2 linked regions of the Lepisosteus oculatus genome follow. The protein of the gene in region 1 purifies or fractionates together with the protein of each later gene. This does not show direct contact. Links are inferred from orthologs where the notes say so. Each region holds a gene or a part of one and is shown on either strand. Other genes may lie near its edges.

Evidence for each region.
Region 2: the proteins of MOB kinase activator 1A (region 1) and pja2 purify together in Homo sapiens (affinity purification with western blotting; 3 studies listed by BioGRID). This does not show direct contact. The link is inferred for Lepisosteus oculatus from reciprocal best matches to the Homo sapiens genes MOB1A and PJA2.

Annotation. Positions count from the first base shown.
Region 1 is NC_090697.1:68,319,169-68,326,931, forward strand, and holds the start of MOB kinase activator 1A, read right to left. Parts: upstream 3,009-7,763; 5' UTR 2,774-3,008; coding exon 2,760-2,773; intron 623-2,759; coding exon 456-622; intron 1-455. Other genes in the region: mthfd2 (bifunctional methylenetetrahydrofolate dehydrogenase/cyclohydrolase, mitochondrial), read left to right, coding at 6,663-6,742. UniProt on the Homo sapiens protein: Activator of LATS1/2 in the Hippo signaling pathway which plays a pivotal role in organ size control and tumor suppression by restricting proliferation and promoting apoptosis.
Region 2 is NC_090698.1:29,445,382-29,452,468, forward strand, and holds the start of pja2 (E3 ubiquitin-protein ligase Praja-2), read right to left. Parts: upstream 3,025-7,087; 5' UTR 2,918-3,024; intron 235-2,917; 5' UTR 233-234; coding exon 34-232; coding exon of another isoform or gene 17-33; intron 1-16.

The sequences.
Region 1 (7,763 bases):
GTCACCACATCACAGCAAAGTTATTGCTGCTGCACTGGAATTAGCCCAGAGAAGAATAACTAGATACATTCCAGGGCTTAAGGGAACGTCCTTCTCTGGAACACAACCCTTCTAGCCTTGAACAGTGAAGAATACAAGGGGACGTTATGTAGGTATTCACATCCCTAAAAAGCCCTGACAAAGACGACCCCGTTGGATTTCTTCAGAGCGAGCACCGAAACTCGAATGAGAGGACACAAAGGGGAAACGATGCACAAACGCATTTAAAACTCAGAACAGGAGGCTTGTCTTTACACAAAGAGTTGTGAGAGTCTGGAACAGACTGCCCAGGCTTGCTGTGGAAACCCATCCACTGGCTTCTTTCAACTAAGGTCTGGACGAGATCCACTGGCTACTAACGACCACACAGGTTAGACCTCTCGTTTCTAAGTGGCCTCGCGCTCCGAGGTACTGACTGTTGACGGCGATCCACTCGTTGAGGTCCTCGCCCTCGGGCAGCATGACGGCCTGCCGCAGGTTCCCGCTGCCCAGCGTGGCCTCCGCATGCTTCAGCAGCTCGTACTGGTGCGAGCCCTCCGGGATGTTCTTCTTGGGCTTGAAGGTCTTGGAGGAGCGGCTGCCGCTGTTGCAGAAAAGAGGAGAACCCCGTTACAGAAACGAAGTTTCGGGTCAAGTCGTTACTTCGTAGAGCGTACTTTCACCACCCACCACAGCAACCGGGGCGACCTTCACAATGTCTCGTTAATGGCTCTCCCATTGTGTAAGAAAAGCCATGGGGAAGTGTCTTTATAAAAAACTGTGATCAGGTAGACTGTAATAGGGGGTTAGAAACAACGTTTAGGCTTCAAGTGTGAAGACACCCGAAGAAGGCTCCACAGCCAACACATTGAGTTTCTTTTCTTCTCTTTCCAGCATGGAGAAATGCTTTACTTGTTCCTTTTGCAGCCTCCGCATGCTGATGCAGCCACTAACTTGAACCTTAGCAGGAGATGTCAAGGACTTGGAAACCATTCTAACCAGCTCCAAGCTGAGCTGCTCCGACTTCCAAAAAATAGATAAGTAACGAAGTACTGCGGACTAAACTCAACTTTACTTCGCTCGATGACTTCAGGTTTCCTCAAAAGCTCATCCTTTTGTATTCTAGTTCTGCAAAATCACAAGGCTGGATGTTTTATCGCTGAAATAGCATTTTGGCTCAAGGCCACCAAGAAGCAGGATGTGAAGTGTCATATGATAGTCAAGTTCTCAATTTTCCACTTTTTAACTCGGTCCTAAAAATCATCTTCTACTTAATCATTCGAACAGATATCACCTAATTCTATAAACATATTTGTCATATCATGCCCAAAATGAAAAATACAAGCATGAGCCCCCCCAAAAAATGCCTGGTTATGGAGGTTGAATACATAAATTATATTTACTGCTGCAACCTTACTTTCAATCTTTTTATTTAAGATTTTATTTAACAAACTGAAGTATGTCCAAAATTCAGCAGCCAGGATCCTGATCAGGTCTAGTGCAAGTGATCACATTACTCCTATTCTGGAGTCCTTGAACTGGCTTCCTGTCAAAATTCTGTGTGGACTTTAAAATCCTCATGCTCTACATGGCTTGGCACCTCAGTACCTGTCTGAACTATTATCGCCCTACTCCCCACCTCGCAACCTTCGCTCTTCGAATTCTGCCCTCCTTACTGTCCCCCAAGCCCATCTACATTCTATGGGTGACAGGGCCTTCTCCTGTTATGCCCCCAAGCTCTGGAACTCTCTGCCCAAGGATATCAGAGTCACCTTCTCTAAACTCCTTCAAATCCAGACTCAAAACCCTCTTCTTCAGAAAAGCCTTTACTTAACTGGTTCCATTCTTCACCCCTCTGCTTTTCAGAGTACCACCATCCACGGTCTCCTCTGCATATTGTAATTGTGTTTTATGCTTTTTATTTATTGTTGTTCTCATTCTGTAAAGTGCTTTGTGAAGCCACCTTTAAAGATGCTATATAAAATAAAGTTTAACTCGAATGCTCACCCGCACCTATGATGCACCTACTACGATGCAAGTATCGAATAAAACCCCTCAGATCACATATCAATGTAATGTATGATGATAAATTCTAGATATACGGTTTCAATTTACTATTACGCGCAGAACTCCCATAATTTTAGTTTATTTTGTGTTAATAAGAATGGTAAATGTAATTGACCAGAATTAAATAAATACTGACTTCTTGCCCTCTCCCAAACGGTTTACTTACTTTTTGTCGTTTCTTAAGATTAACTACGACGACATGCTCATTTTTCCGTGGAGGTGGGTAAATTACCAGCAGTTCCGTCTAATTGATCTCTGAGATCACGGATTTTGCAAGGGCTTCTTCAAAAGCTTTGATCGCTAAAATGTTTTCTTTTTTCTCATTGTTTCGAGAAAGCTGAAATAAATCTTTTTTGCGGAGTAGCGGTGGTGGTTATTATATAAGCCGTCTTTTGCGTGTGTGCCAGCAGACTAAGTTAACAACAGAAAAAACACCTCCCCAACTTATTTACGCCATTAGCCATCTGAAGAGGTACAACCTTCGTACCGCACTTCTTGCTTCGTGAAAATAAAGTTTATAATTCGTCGTTTCAGTGGGTAACCATCGATATTTGTGCCAGAGTTTACGGCAATAACAAAGGAAGTCTTTTAGACAGCAGAATTGAAACAAAAGTTCAAAATAAAAACGCTTAAACTGAAAACAGGAAGAGATTAACATTTCTCATTCTACTTACAAGAGGAAACTCATTTCCAAGTCCGGATGATCACAACTGTGCCCTCTCCCACTAACGAAGAAAAACAAAAAAAATGGTCGTTGCTTACTTGAAACAATTAAGAATATAAGAGACAAAGGATTCTGAGGGAGTAATATTTTTTTTCTCCACTTCAGACAAATAAAATGAAATATTTAAAAGTGACTCGAAAGACCCTTGTTGCGACTCTCATCGCACTGAAGGGAATCAGACCGCAAGTACAACCGCGATATCGCGAGACTGGCCCTCGAGATGTGCAGAACTGTGCCAAATAACACGCATCTGCTGCCCCCTTCTGGATAATTAGCGCTAAAGTACTGTACAGTATTAACTGATTCTCAAAAACACAAGTCGGAGTACTGTACATGTCCATGCGGCGGAGCCACAATCCGACAGTTTATATGGGTCACCCTTATGTCATTAGTTTCTAAGTGCTTGGATCAAGTAGTTTAGAGATCGTTTGAAATGAAAAGAGCAAAACCCTGTAGCTCTCAAGCACTGTGGCTGACCATTCCTGACCTAATTGGACCTATTCATGTGCTTCATTGATCAAACCTCGCATGCGTTCCAGGCCTTTACAGAAAGCTGATTTCAATGTGACCTATGAGATCTGCTGGAGTGTGCTTTGCCAAGTGATTTCAAAGTATTTGATGAGACATCAAATTGTAGAAAAATAATAAAACTATTCTAATGTGAATCTATATTGTTTACAGTTTTTGCAAAGAATTAAAACCAGGACATTTCTGTAGATGTGTGAGAAAAATATGAATGAAATTCCCTCCTTGTGTACAGTGTCTGTTGGGTTAGGCTCCAGCCCGTTAGGGTGAATTAGAGTAATGAACGTAAAGGTACACCTATCCTTCAAACAAATCTGAGAATGCTCGTCACTGACCGGCAGAAAGAACTAAATCTTTTCAGTCTTGAACAGAGAAGACTACAAGGGAACCCGATGCACAGATTAAAAATCCTCCAAGTCAACGAAGTGGACTTCTCCAAAATGATTAGCGAAACACGAACCAGAGAAACCTCAGAACCTATGTGGAAGTGCAGTTAAAACTGAGAAAAAAGAGGCTCTACTTTACCCAAAGGCTGAAGTGTGGGGGTATGAAACAAGCTACCCAGCCATGTGGTTTAAACCTATACTTCAGCTTCCTCCAGGAAATGAGATCTGTGGATCAATTAGCAAATACCTCACCACATTGTACAACACAGGATGAATGCCCTCCTCTCATTTGTGATCTTTCTTATGCTCTTGTTTATTGCCAGAATGCTATATGCTGCCTATGAAATTCAAACAAGACTGTTAGTATCAACCATGTACAGAGTGCTCCACCTACATGTGGGAGAGGACATTTCTGAGTTATTCCTGTCCTCAGGGTAAGAGCTGTAATGACATGACCCCAGGAACTCATTGCTGAAAACATCTTAATCACACAACACTTTGAATGGATACATTTTTCCTTAAGTAGGATATTCACTCCAATGTGTTATGTAACACCACATAACTCTAAGAAACATTTCAGGTGGAATTTAAGGAGTAATGTCTCTGAAGAATGTTGCTTGCACTGAAGAGAGTCTAATACAACAATGACTGGTCAAGACAGCAATAGAGAGAGCTGGGGTTACAAAGGTACAGTGTAAATAAGGTCCTAAACTTGACTAGATGCTAGTTTGACTTATAATTGTTAGTACAACTAAATCGAACCAAGAAATGCATCAGCTGTCAGGATTTCAAGTGTGCCTTTCAACAAAGTATTGTTCTCCTAAGAGATGTTTACAGCGAACACAAACTGCATTTCCAGCATTCTTAAGGACAAAAATCAACTACGTAAAAAAGGAGGGAGAGTTAGAATTATAGAAGTCATTAAGAAATAATTAAGATTTTGAAGAAAATTCTTCAAACATCTTTGCCATCCTATTGACAAACAGTGGTGTTTACAGTGAAGGGAGGTGGTGACCAATCTCAAAGTGATCTCTGTAAAGACATTCACCATTCAGCTGGGGTTCAGAGTTGCCTGCAGACTACAAAAGGTCACCCTGCATGAGGGTATTTAAGTAATTCACTGCTTTAGCACTCTTGTGGTGCTGTTAACAGAGCACTTTCCACTCCACACAGCAGCCCAAGAGCACAAATCGGTCTCTTCACCTCACCATTCCACTCACTCCTTCAGCACCATGGCAACAGCGCAGAGATGACCCACCACACTTAGGGTCCTACCAAACCCTTCCACAGAAGTGCTGTCTCTTTGCACAACCACACATCACATACCTCTGAGATGTTACAGAATTTCACCACTCAGGTTTAAACTGAAAGTAGCTAACCAGCTGTTGTGTTTCTGCACTGCACATGTAGGTGAAATTGGCTTGATGCATTGAACAAACAAACCTTCTGCATGTCTGTGTTAAAATGTGTCTTTGAGTAATCTTGTCTTTAGTACAAACTTGGGGTTATAATAATAATAATTATAATAATAATAATAATAATTGCTTACATTTATATAGCGCTTTTCTGGACACTCCACTCAAAGCGCTTTACAGGTAATGGGGACTCCCCTCCACCTGGATAATGCGATAGCAGCCATAGTGCGCCAGAATGCTCACCACACATCAGCTATCAGTGGGGAGGAGAGCAGAGTAATGTATCCAATTCTTAGAGGGGGATTATTAGGAGGCCATGATTGGTAAGGGCCAATGGGAAATTTGGCCAGGACGCCAGGGTTACAGCCCTACTCTTTATGAGAAACACCCTGGGATTTTTAATGACCACAGAGAGTCAGGACCTCGGTTTTACGTCTCATCCGAAGGACGGTGCCTGTTTACAGTATAGTGTCCCCATCACTATACTGGGGAATTAGGACCCACATGGACCACAGGGTGAGCGCCCCCTGTTGGCCCCACTAACACCTCTTCCAGCAGCAACCTTAGTTTTTCCCAGGAGGTCTCCCATCCAGGTACTGACCAGGTACCGAGCTTCAGGGGGCTGCCAGTTGTGAGTCACAGGGTGATATGGCTGCTGGCATTACCACTGGGTTACCACTTACACAGCTCAGATGTGTTTTAATAGATTCACTGGGACCAAATGATCTAAATCTACTTTACTTGTGTGGGTAACAGAAAATGTCCTGTAACACAATTTGGAAAGGTGGAATGTTAAAATATTTGTATACAAGATTATCTATAGATTTTGGAAACACGTCACATTTCACAATATCGACAATTGTGAGGGTAACCGTTGTTGCCAAGGCTAGTAAGGTATTTAACACGTAGGTTCCGCTCTGTAAAGAATCGTTCTTAATCCAATTCCTTGACAACAAAATAAAGACCTACTACTGTAAATAAACAGTACATATACTGCAACTTCAGAACACATCTCAGCTATAAAGAACTCTCGACAGATTAATTGAAAACATAGATCGTAGAAATCACCACACGAACTATTAATGGAAGTGTTTAAAGTGAATTGTGTTACAGAATACCGTTTAAAAAGGAAAATAACTATTACATTCGAGAAAACCGCGCTACCGGAACTCCGTACGGCTCCCAAGATGCAACGCTCCGCAACCGAACGGAAAAAGGCGGAGTCGAGCGTTCGGTTTCATTAATTCTGTTGCGTCATCTTCCGAAACACATGGAAATCTCCTTAGCGGGCGGGAATAGAAATTGAAGGGGCGTGGCTACGAGTGCAACCCTACTCTTCTGAACGGGGGGAGGTGTGGCCCTCTGTGATTGACGTCATAGCATCTGTAAGAGGGAAAAAAAAGCTCACACCTCGCCGGCTCTCTTCCGTCCTGGACGTTCCCGGAGTCAGTTTGGGCTGCTTCTGCTCTTCTTTAATTTCTTATTTTCACTGTCTTTTTTAATTTGTTTATACACCCCCCTTATCCAATGGCTACATTCCGAGTACTACGATCAATCTGTACGCCTACACACTACCAAGTGTGCCGGTTTCACCTATCAGCTGCAAGGTAAGTTAAAAACTAATACGGTGCAAAGATACATCTGTTGTGTATTCTGTATTTCTGAAACGTTCAGAAACACCTTGATTACCTTTGAAATAGTTTACGCTGTATCTTTTGTGAAACGAAGGCGGAAAATGTTATTTTTTTTTATAAGTTAAAAAATTACACACTGTTATTTGTCCCTGTTTGGCTGTCAGTATCCAAGAAACCGCTCTCTTTGGAAGGCGGAGATCCCTTAAATATCTAAGTGACCGTACAGCTAATAACTTGAACCCATTTAAATATATTTTAGAGTCTGTACTCCTACTAGAGATTTCTTATTCGTTCTGTAATCTTATTTTAAATTGGCATTTGTTTTTCCAGTATGCTGTAAGAGTAATTCTTTAAAAAATAAATGCCTGTGTCGCGCCCCCTGGAGTTTGTGTGTGGAAGTGCATCGCGGATGATGAAATCGCAGTGAATGCTTGCGTTGTGCACTGGCAGGCTGGATAGTCTGTGACTGTGTGGCATCGAACCTGGGCTTGCAGTTGTGGCTGTATGCATCAAAACAGCCTGTGTATTTTTCATATTATGTTATTTTTTTTGGCTGAACGAAATTACACACTATCTCATAATATGTGTGTTTTAATGTCAGAATTAGCACTTGTCTGTTTGCTTCAACACCAAACATGGAAGTTTTTTTTTTAAATATTGTCTGCCTAATACTGTAATTTCATTTTGCTGCATGTTCGTTTGTAATTTCCTCGCCAGTTGTATCCAATTGAAGTAGACGAGAGAAGGAACCGCGTGTTTCTCGTGATTTCCAGTAATTTAGTTAAGGAAGTGAGAGGCGTATGGTATTATACAAACTCCAAAAGGTGGTTCTATACAATGTGAATAAAGCTTATATCCCTTAATACGATATAAACGTAAAACTGTCTATTTCAGATTCTGAAGTTGTCCCAACACCCTGCTACTTAGAAAATTCCAGTCGTTTGACCTTTGTGGTCAGATAAGAATTCAATTAAAATCTTCCATTTTACTTTCT
Region 2 (7,087 bases), on another chromosome or scaffold:
ATACACTATACATTACGGTTGAACTGGACACACATAAAGGATTCTCCTCGTGAACACTGCTCATCTCCAGTCCCTGCCACTCCATGTCATTTTCTGGAGATGGGATGTTTTGCTTTGCCAAAGTTGGTCGGAAGCCTATATATGCATGTCTTCTGCCATATCTCCTTCCTGTGATCGTCTGATAGCCTCCAGCTGGTTTGGGCCAGGCTGGCTTGCCTGCTTCCTGACCCATTTCTGTAAAAAGTGGAGAAACTCACATGAATCTTTGGATAAAAAGTACTCAGAGGAAGACAGATGGGCAACAAACAATAATTCAGTAAGACGGTACTGAAACCATTTAACATACAGAGCATTCCTAGGTTGTAGCAATAGCTGAATAGGCTTAATATGTTTTCCTTGATTTATATAGAAAATACACAATTGAATTCAAGTTGAAATTTATATTGGCAAAATGTGTTAACCTGACATGAGAGACAGAATCATCAAGGTATAATGACTTCATAATGTGAGAAGATAAAATTTAAAATTTTATGAAATATTTTAAATTAGAAGTTTGAAAAGAGCAAAAACTATCTGTCTGCACTGCTGGCAAAGTATTATAAAGTAGAAAGATCTTCAATGTATTTTATTGCCCAAGCAAAATTATTCTTAAGGATAAATGTCTCCTCCAAGGAGACCTAATCTAGCTAAGAGAATTAGCTATGAGTCACAACAGTCGCCAGTCAGAGCCTGGCAGCAACTGAATGCAGTAACTTTCAAGTATTAGTGCAATTCTACCAAATGACAATTTTGTATAGTTAACATGCACCTTTATTATATATTGATCATCAGAAAAATGTATCACTTATGTGTGTAACTAAATTATCAGGAAAAAATATTCTTAGCAGCAGGAACAATGAGTTTATTGAACATTAATGACTCAAGACAATTCATTATGCCGATTAACATTTGTCAATAACAGGGGTCTTCAATCTAGTAGCATGAGTGACAAGCAGTGGAAGCAACATACAGTAAGCTTACATATATGGGATTACTGATGTGAATAATTTTGGCCCATACCTTTGGACAAGCATGTACTTGTGTACTGATATGTAAGCCCTAGATGTCACACAACAAAAGTGGGAATGTGGATCAAGCTGGGTGAGTAATTACCATGTAATTAAGCCGCTACATGTGCAACATGAGAAGGAACATTGTCCTTTTGAAATAATGTCAGGATGAGCAAGCAGAAATGGCACCAAGAAAGGCTTAAGGATTTGATGGAGGTAATATCATGCAGACAGGTTGCCATTAATCAATTAAGTTGAGTTCTATACTAACTATACACTCCAGCCAAGACCATCACACCCAGATGCTGATGTCTCAATCTTGGCAAGATATCAATCACTCATGGTGCTGCAAACTGCAGCCTATAATTGACATCAAGCAACAGAGCACTGTCAGACTGTCATGTTTTTCCTTTCTGTATTTTTATTTCTTGTCTTTCACCCTACTTGAGATTCAGTAGGTAAAGTCACCTCAACTTGTAAATTAACTCTTACTAATGAGCTGGGTTAGAGTTTAAACATGATGTTAACTGAATATATTATTGCCAGTAATGAATAATCATTAAATAAAAATGATACCAAAACTATTTAAGCAATACCCACAGTCTGTAAACTTTATTATTAAAAAAAACATTCATGCATAAAGAAACTGGTGTTTTTGATCCTCAGTATAATTCATACTTACCACTCTTACCATACATACCACTCTATGAGCACAAGAAAGAAGTCAATACCACTGTTGTAATAAAGTTGCATAACAAATGTAACTATTACTTAAAAACATAAAAACTATAAAACAATATAATTATAATATGGTATGCCTTAGTGACAACTTATTTAATTAACCTGGAGGTTTGAGACTGCTCATTTATTGCTTTGTTTCTCTCACAACACTTAGTATGAAGTACAGTATTTTCAGACACCCAGTCTTACATTAGAGAACCATTCCTAAAATGCTACTAGTTCTACCAGAATGAAGAGTAATTTAGACACATCCTGCTTGCAAACACTGCCATGTGAAATTAAATGTCTCAGAAAACTAATCTATGTAAGCAAGATTTTAAACAAGTTCTGCAGCCTCAGTTATTTATTTAGAATCAATGCAGAGTGCAACAAGATCATTTATTGGTCTCACATATATAAAACATTTTAAAAAAAGAAATAAGCCAAGGGATCCCCAGCCATGTCAATAAAATTGTGTATACAAATTAGACAGCTTCCAAAAACTAGCCCAATATTCAATTTTTCTGGCATTAAAGATTTGATGTTTATTAATATATACTGGTACATACATGCAGTCAATTGCATTTTCAATGAAGATGACGTACAAATACCTGAATACTCTTAAAACCTCAATCACAGAACATTATTTCTATTTAGGGGCTTAAAAATAGTTTTTTTTCCATCTATTTAGTGGTAATCACTTATGAAACTAAGTGGAGGGAACATATAAGGGTTGCGATAGGATGTTTTGCCTTAAATCCGGATAACAAAACAATCCAGTTTGACTTTAATACCGTGTGACTTACTGATTTGGAGGTATATGATAACTCTAATTACCAAACAATACTTACTGATTCCATCGCTACCGCTTAACTCGGCACGCTTAAAACTGAAAGGTGAAATCTTGTTAAACATTGAAACACTACAACTATCCTCCACTGTTTATCTCTGTGTGCATACAAATATGGTAAACATTAGGCCTTGTGTCTTATTCTTGCGCTCTATCCTTTTTTCTATGAAGCAGAGCTAACTGAAATCATCGGTGAACCTTTATGACACATAATGCTAGGTGTTATTGAAATAGTTTATTTGATAAATGCATTAATCCAACTAAACTTCCTTTTAATTCCACAGAAAACAAACCTTACCTGCCTTCCAGAGCTATTACATCAACTAAAGCCGCAACCAACTCCGCCCACCAACGACAGCAACACAGGACGGCGTCATCTAATCTTTTTGTCCAGTCAGTGCTGGGAGGAGTGTGCTTACAGCCAACACGTATCCAATCAGTCAGAGACGAGGATCTGGATTTCCCAGACCCAGTGGAGATGACGGGGTAGGAGGGGGACCTGTCTATTATGAAAGTGGTACTCAGTTTTGTTTAAAGAGACGTGGGGAAAAAAAGTTGTACGAATAGTGAGCTTAGTTTTAGGTTTTGTAAGGCAATCATCCGCATAAAATTCAGCTGTTTAGCTGAATTTGTTTGCTTTGGTCTACAAAATAGCAATAACGAACGAATACTGACATTTTTCTAAAGTTTAAGCACCCCAGTTTTGGACTAATCAACTCTTCATAAAACCTCCATGAGACAAATGATTGGTTTATGTCCTTTAATCAACTGGTAAGGACTTAACTAAATATGAAAGTTTAATAACAGGCATCTAGGTTTCTTTTTTATTTTGAAAATGAAACCCTCTTTTCAACAACTTCTTAAACTACAGGACGTATGCTGAATATTTCGCAAAACTGATGTGTGTTCAATTCTTGCAAAAATATTTTATATGTGGGTATACTTAAAAACAAATTTTGTTTAGTTTTCTGTGCTTTGAAGTAATGCTGTGAAGGCAAAAATGTTAAGAATTTTTAATCTACCTCTGAATTTCTACAAACTACACTTATGTTGACGATTCTGACTACCCCTTATTGCACAATCTTGCACTTGGATTTAGAGCAACCTATATAGTACAAAAACAAAAACAAAGAGTGCATACAGCAGTATTAGACATGGTATTCTCTTAACAGTGCTCCCTGGTGGCCAAAAGGAAACACGTGTTTTTTACTTCAGCAGTACGTCACTCCAGATAAACATCACTTTAACTGGATCAAATTCACAAAGTAACTGTTTCAGTTTCACAAAGATATTTGCAGATGCATGAATGTTTTATTGAACAAACATGACATAAATTCATTGCTGATTAGCATTTGTCTTCAAGAGGGAGTCTACCGTGAAAGTTACAGGCTGTTGACACTAGAGGAAGAACTACAAGGTATGTATCTGGAGTACGTACTTTGTACCAGGTGGCAGCTATTTTCTTGTGGGATTCTGTCCAATTCCTCTCATACAGCCTGCACAAGCATGTGCCTGTTCACTAGTTTCTAAGCCCTAGATGCCACAAATTGTCCCAGCTCATTCCCAAACAATTCAGCGGGGTTGCTCCTGGAGTAGATCATACATTGTTTTGCCCTACAGTTCTTCCTTTACTTCTTCCACCCACACACTAAAAACTCCCTTCCTTCCTCACAGATCCTCAGATGTTGTCAGTTATGCAGTGGTGATACCGACTTTCATAAACAAACACTTATAATGCTCTTTTTCTTCATTGAGTGAAAATACCCTACAAACAGCTTCGGCAAGGCCCTCAACCCAAGTTACAAATAGCCCTCTCAACATTAACCCAACACACAACATTAACTGCAAACCCAGAATTCCACTGGTGCATCCCTTCCACCCCATCAAACTGTCTATTCCCATGGTCATCAAAGATAACCTCTATTTTACAGGATGCAACAATTTTCCCAGACCACCCTGTGTTATCCACATGTTATCCACCACCTAAGCTACACAACTCTCATTTTCGTAGTTCCTTTAACAACCCACAACCTCATCCACACCAAACACCATTTTCTATAACAGAAGTCACTGTATCACCTGCAAATATGTATCTCATGCGATGCATATACTATATGGCCCCTCGAGTTATTTCATAATCAGTTAAAGAATATCTTTTGTATTTAGTAATTTAATTTACTGCATCTCTTGCAGAAAATGCTCTTTGGCTAAGGATCTGTGCCTATGGCTGGAAGGTTGCCGGTTTGTATCCCGTGGCCGGGTGAGGAATTCTACTCCATTGGGCCCCTGAACAAGGCCCTTAAGCCCAACTGATCCAGGGGTGCTGTATAAATGGCTGACCCTGTGCTCTGACCCCAAGCTTCTCTCCCTGTCTGTGTGCCTGTGTGTCTCATGTTGAGAAAGTTGGGGTATGCAAAAAGACAAATTCGTAATACAATGAATTGTATATGGCCAGGATCTTATTTTATCTAAATGCCCTGCCGTTTGCATTGGTGAGATTGGAGGAAGACTAGCTGACTTTTTCAGGGAACATTTCAGCACAGTGAGGATCAAAAATCTGTCTAAATTGATATTTCCCCCTTTTCACATAGTTTCACAGACCTTTCTGTCTGCATCATTTTACAGGGATTCCAGGACTCCAATTCCAGAAACACAACAGAAGCCAAGTTTATTCTTAAGCTGGATCAGACCTTCCAACGTCTCTCAACAACAGATTAATTTCCTATTTAAGCCTCTTTATTTACAGATTTCAGCTTTTCACACCTCTCCTCCAGACCCCCTTAACTGTAGATATCATCACTGTGTGGCCTTTTTCACCTGTGCCATCTTCCTCTCACACCTGAAGGAGGCCCAATAGCTGAAATGTTGTTTTTTCTTTCTGTTTTCAACATGGAATTAACCTTTACTTGTTCCTTTTGCAGCTAAGCACACTGACACGCTCCTCACTCAAACATTTGATTGAATGTTGAGGGAAGAAAGAAAGAGAAATCTTAGGACTGGATCATCAGCCACTTGATCATCAGTCACTACATGATTTCCATAGTGAGTAGACACTCCTGCCCCGATCATCACATTTGTATATCCCCATTAGTTAGTCTGTTGCATGCAAATATTACTGTATATTTCTGCATGACTGCACCACACTTGTTTATGTCCATCATGGAGGTCTGTGCAAAACCTTTATTCATCACTGAAAAGGACTTGAATCCGTTACTATTGGTTCCATTCTGTGTGTTTTTAATTGATTTTCACCAGGCTTAACATTCAACAGGTTACGTCACTTCATCGCCTGTGCCCAATCAACTCTCTCACTAATGAGGTGAGTATTCATAAAATATTCAAAATCACCCATGTGTATCATAGTCATGAAAAATCAATAAATCAAAATGCTGCCAAACACATTTAATCTTCATCCTAGGGTTAATCCCGTATCGGCAGGGGCCGCTTGTCGGCACACCCATCTCCATTTGGCGTGGTCATAGGTGTATTCCAGGGCGACATTCACTTTCCGCATGTCTTCAGTGATCTGATCCATCTACCGCTTCTTGGGCTGCCCTTGTGGCCGTCGACCCTGTGGGCTCAGTCGAATCGCTGTCTGTGCCACCATGTGCTCGCCACTTCTCATCACATGTCCATACCATTGCAGTCTTCCTTCTCATATCTTCTCCGTTATTGGTGCCACCTTCATGTGTCAACGGACATCGTCATTGAGGATGTGGTCAAATCTTGTTAGGCCGAGACACCACCGGATCATCCTCATTTCCATGACATGGAGGGCCTGCTCATGCCTGGAAGTTGCTGGCCAGCATTCCGATCCATACAGGGCGACAGGACGGACAATGGTCTTGTAAACTTTGACCTTGAGTTGGATTGGCATCCAGCAATTGCATAGAACGCCGGTGACCTGGCACCACTACATCCACGCCGCGTTCACTCTGGCCATGGGGTCTGAGAGGGTGTCGCAATTGCTGCTGATGATGGAGCCAAGGTATTTAAACTGCATCACTTTCTTGAGATCTTCACTACTGATGCTGATAGTTCCATCCGTTTGAGGGCCGCACTCCATGTGCTCGGTCTTCTTGGTGTTCAGCCGCATTCCATGCTCGTCCATTCGGATCTTCTATCTCTGTATTTGGTGTTGGAGCTCTTGGCATTCTTCATCCACCAAGAAGACATCGTCGGCGTAGAGCAGCGACCACGGGTGAGGTGCCTGGAGGTCGGCCATCGCCGTGTCTATGCAGAGCACAAAGAGCAGGGGCGAAAGGGCCGATCCTTGGTGAACGCCGACGTTGATGGCGAAAGGCGGTGAAGTGCCCACAGGGCCTCGGACGACGCTGGTGACGTTGCGGTAAAGAAGCTGGACCCATTGGATGTAGGCCTCTTGGACGTTGTGTAATTGTAAGGCATGGCATTTGAGCTCATGTGGGATCTGATCAAACTGTTTGGGATTCGGTAAAAGAAACCGAAA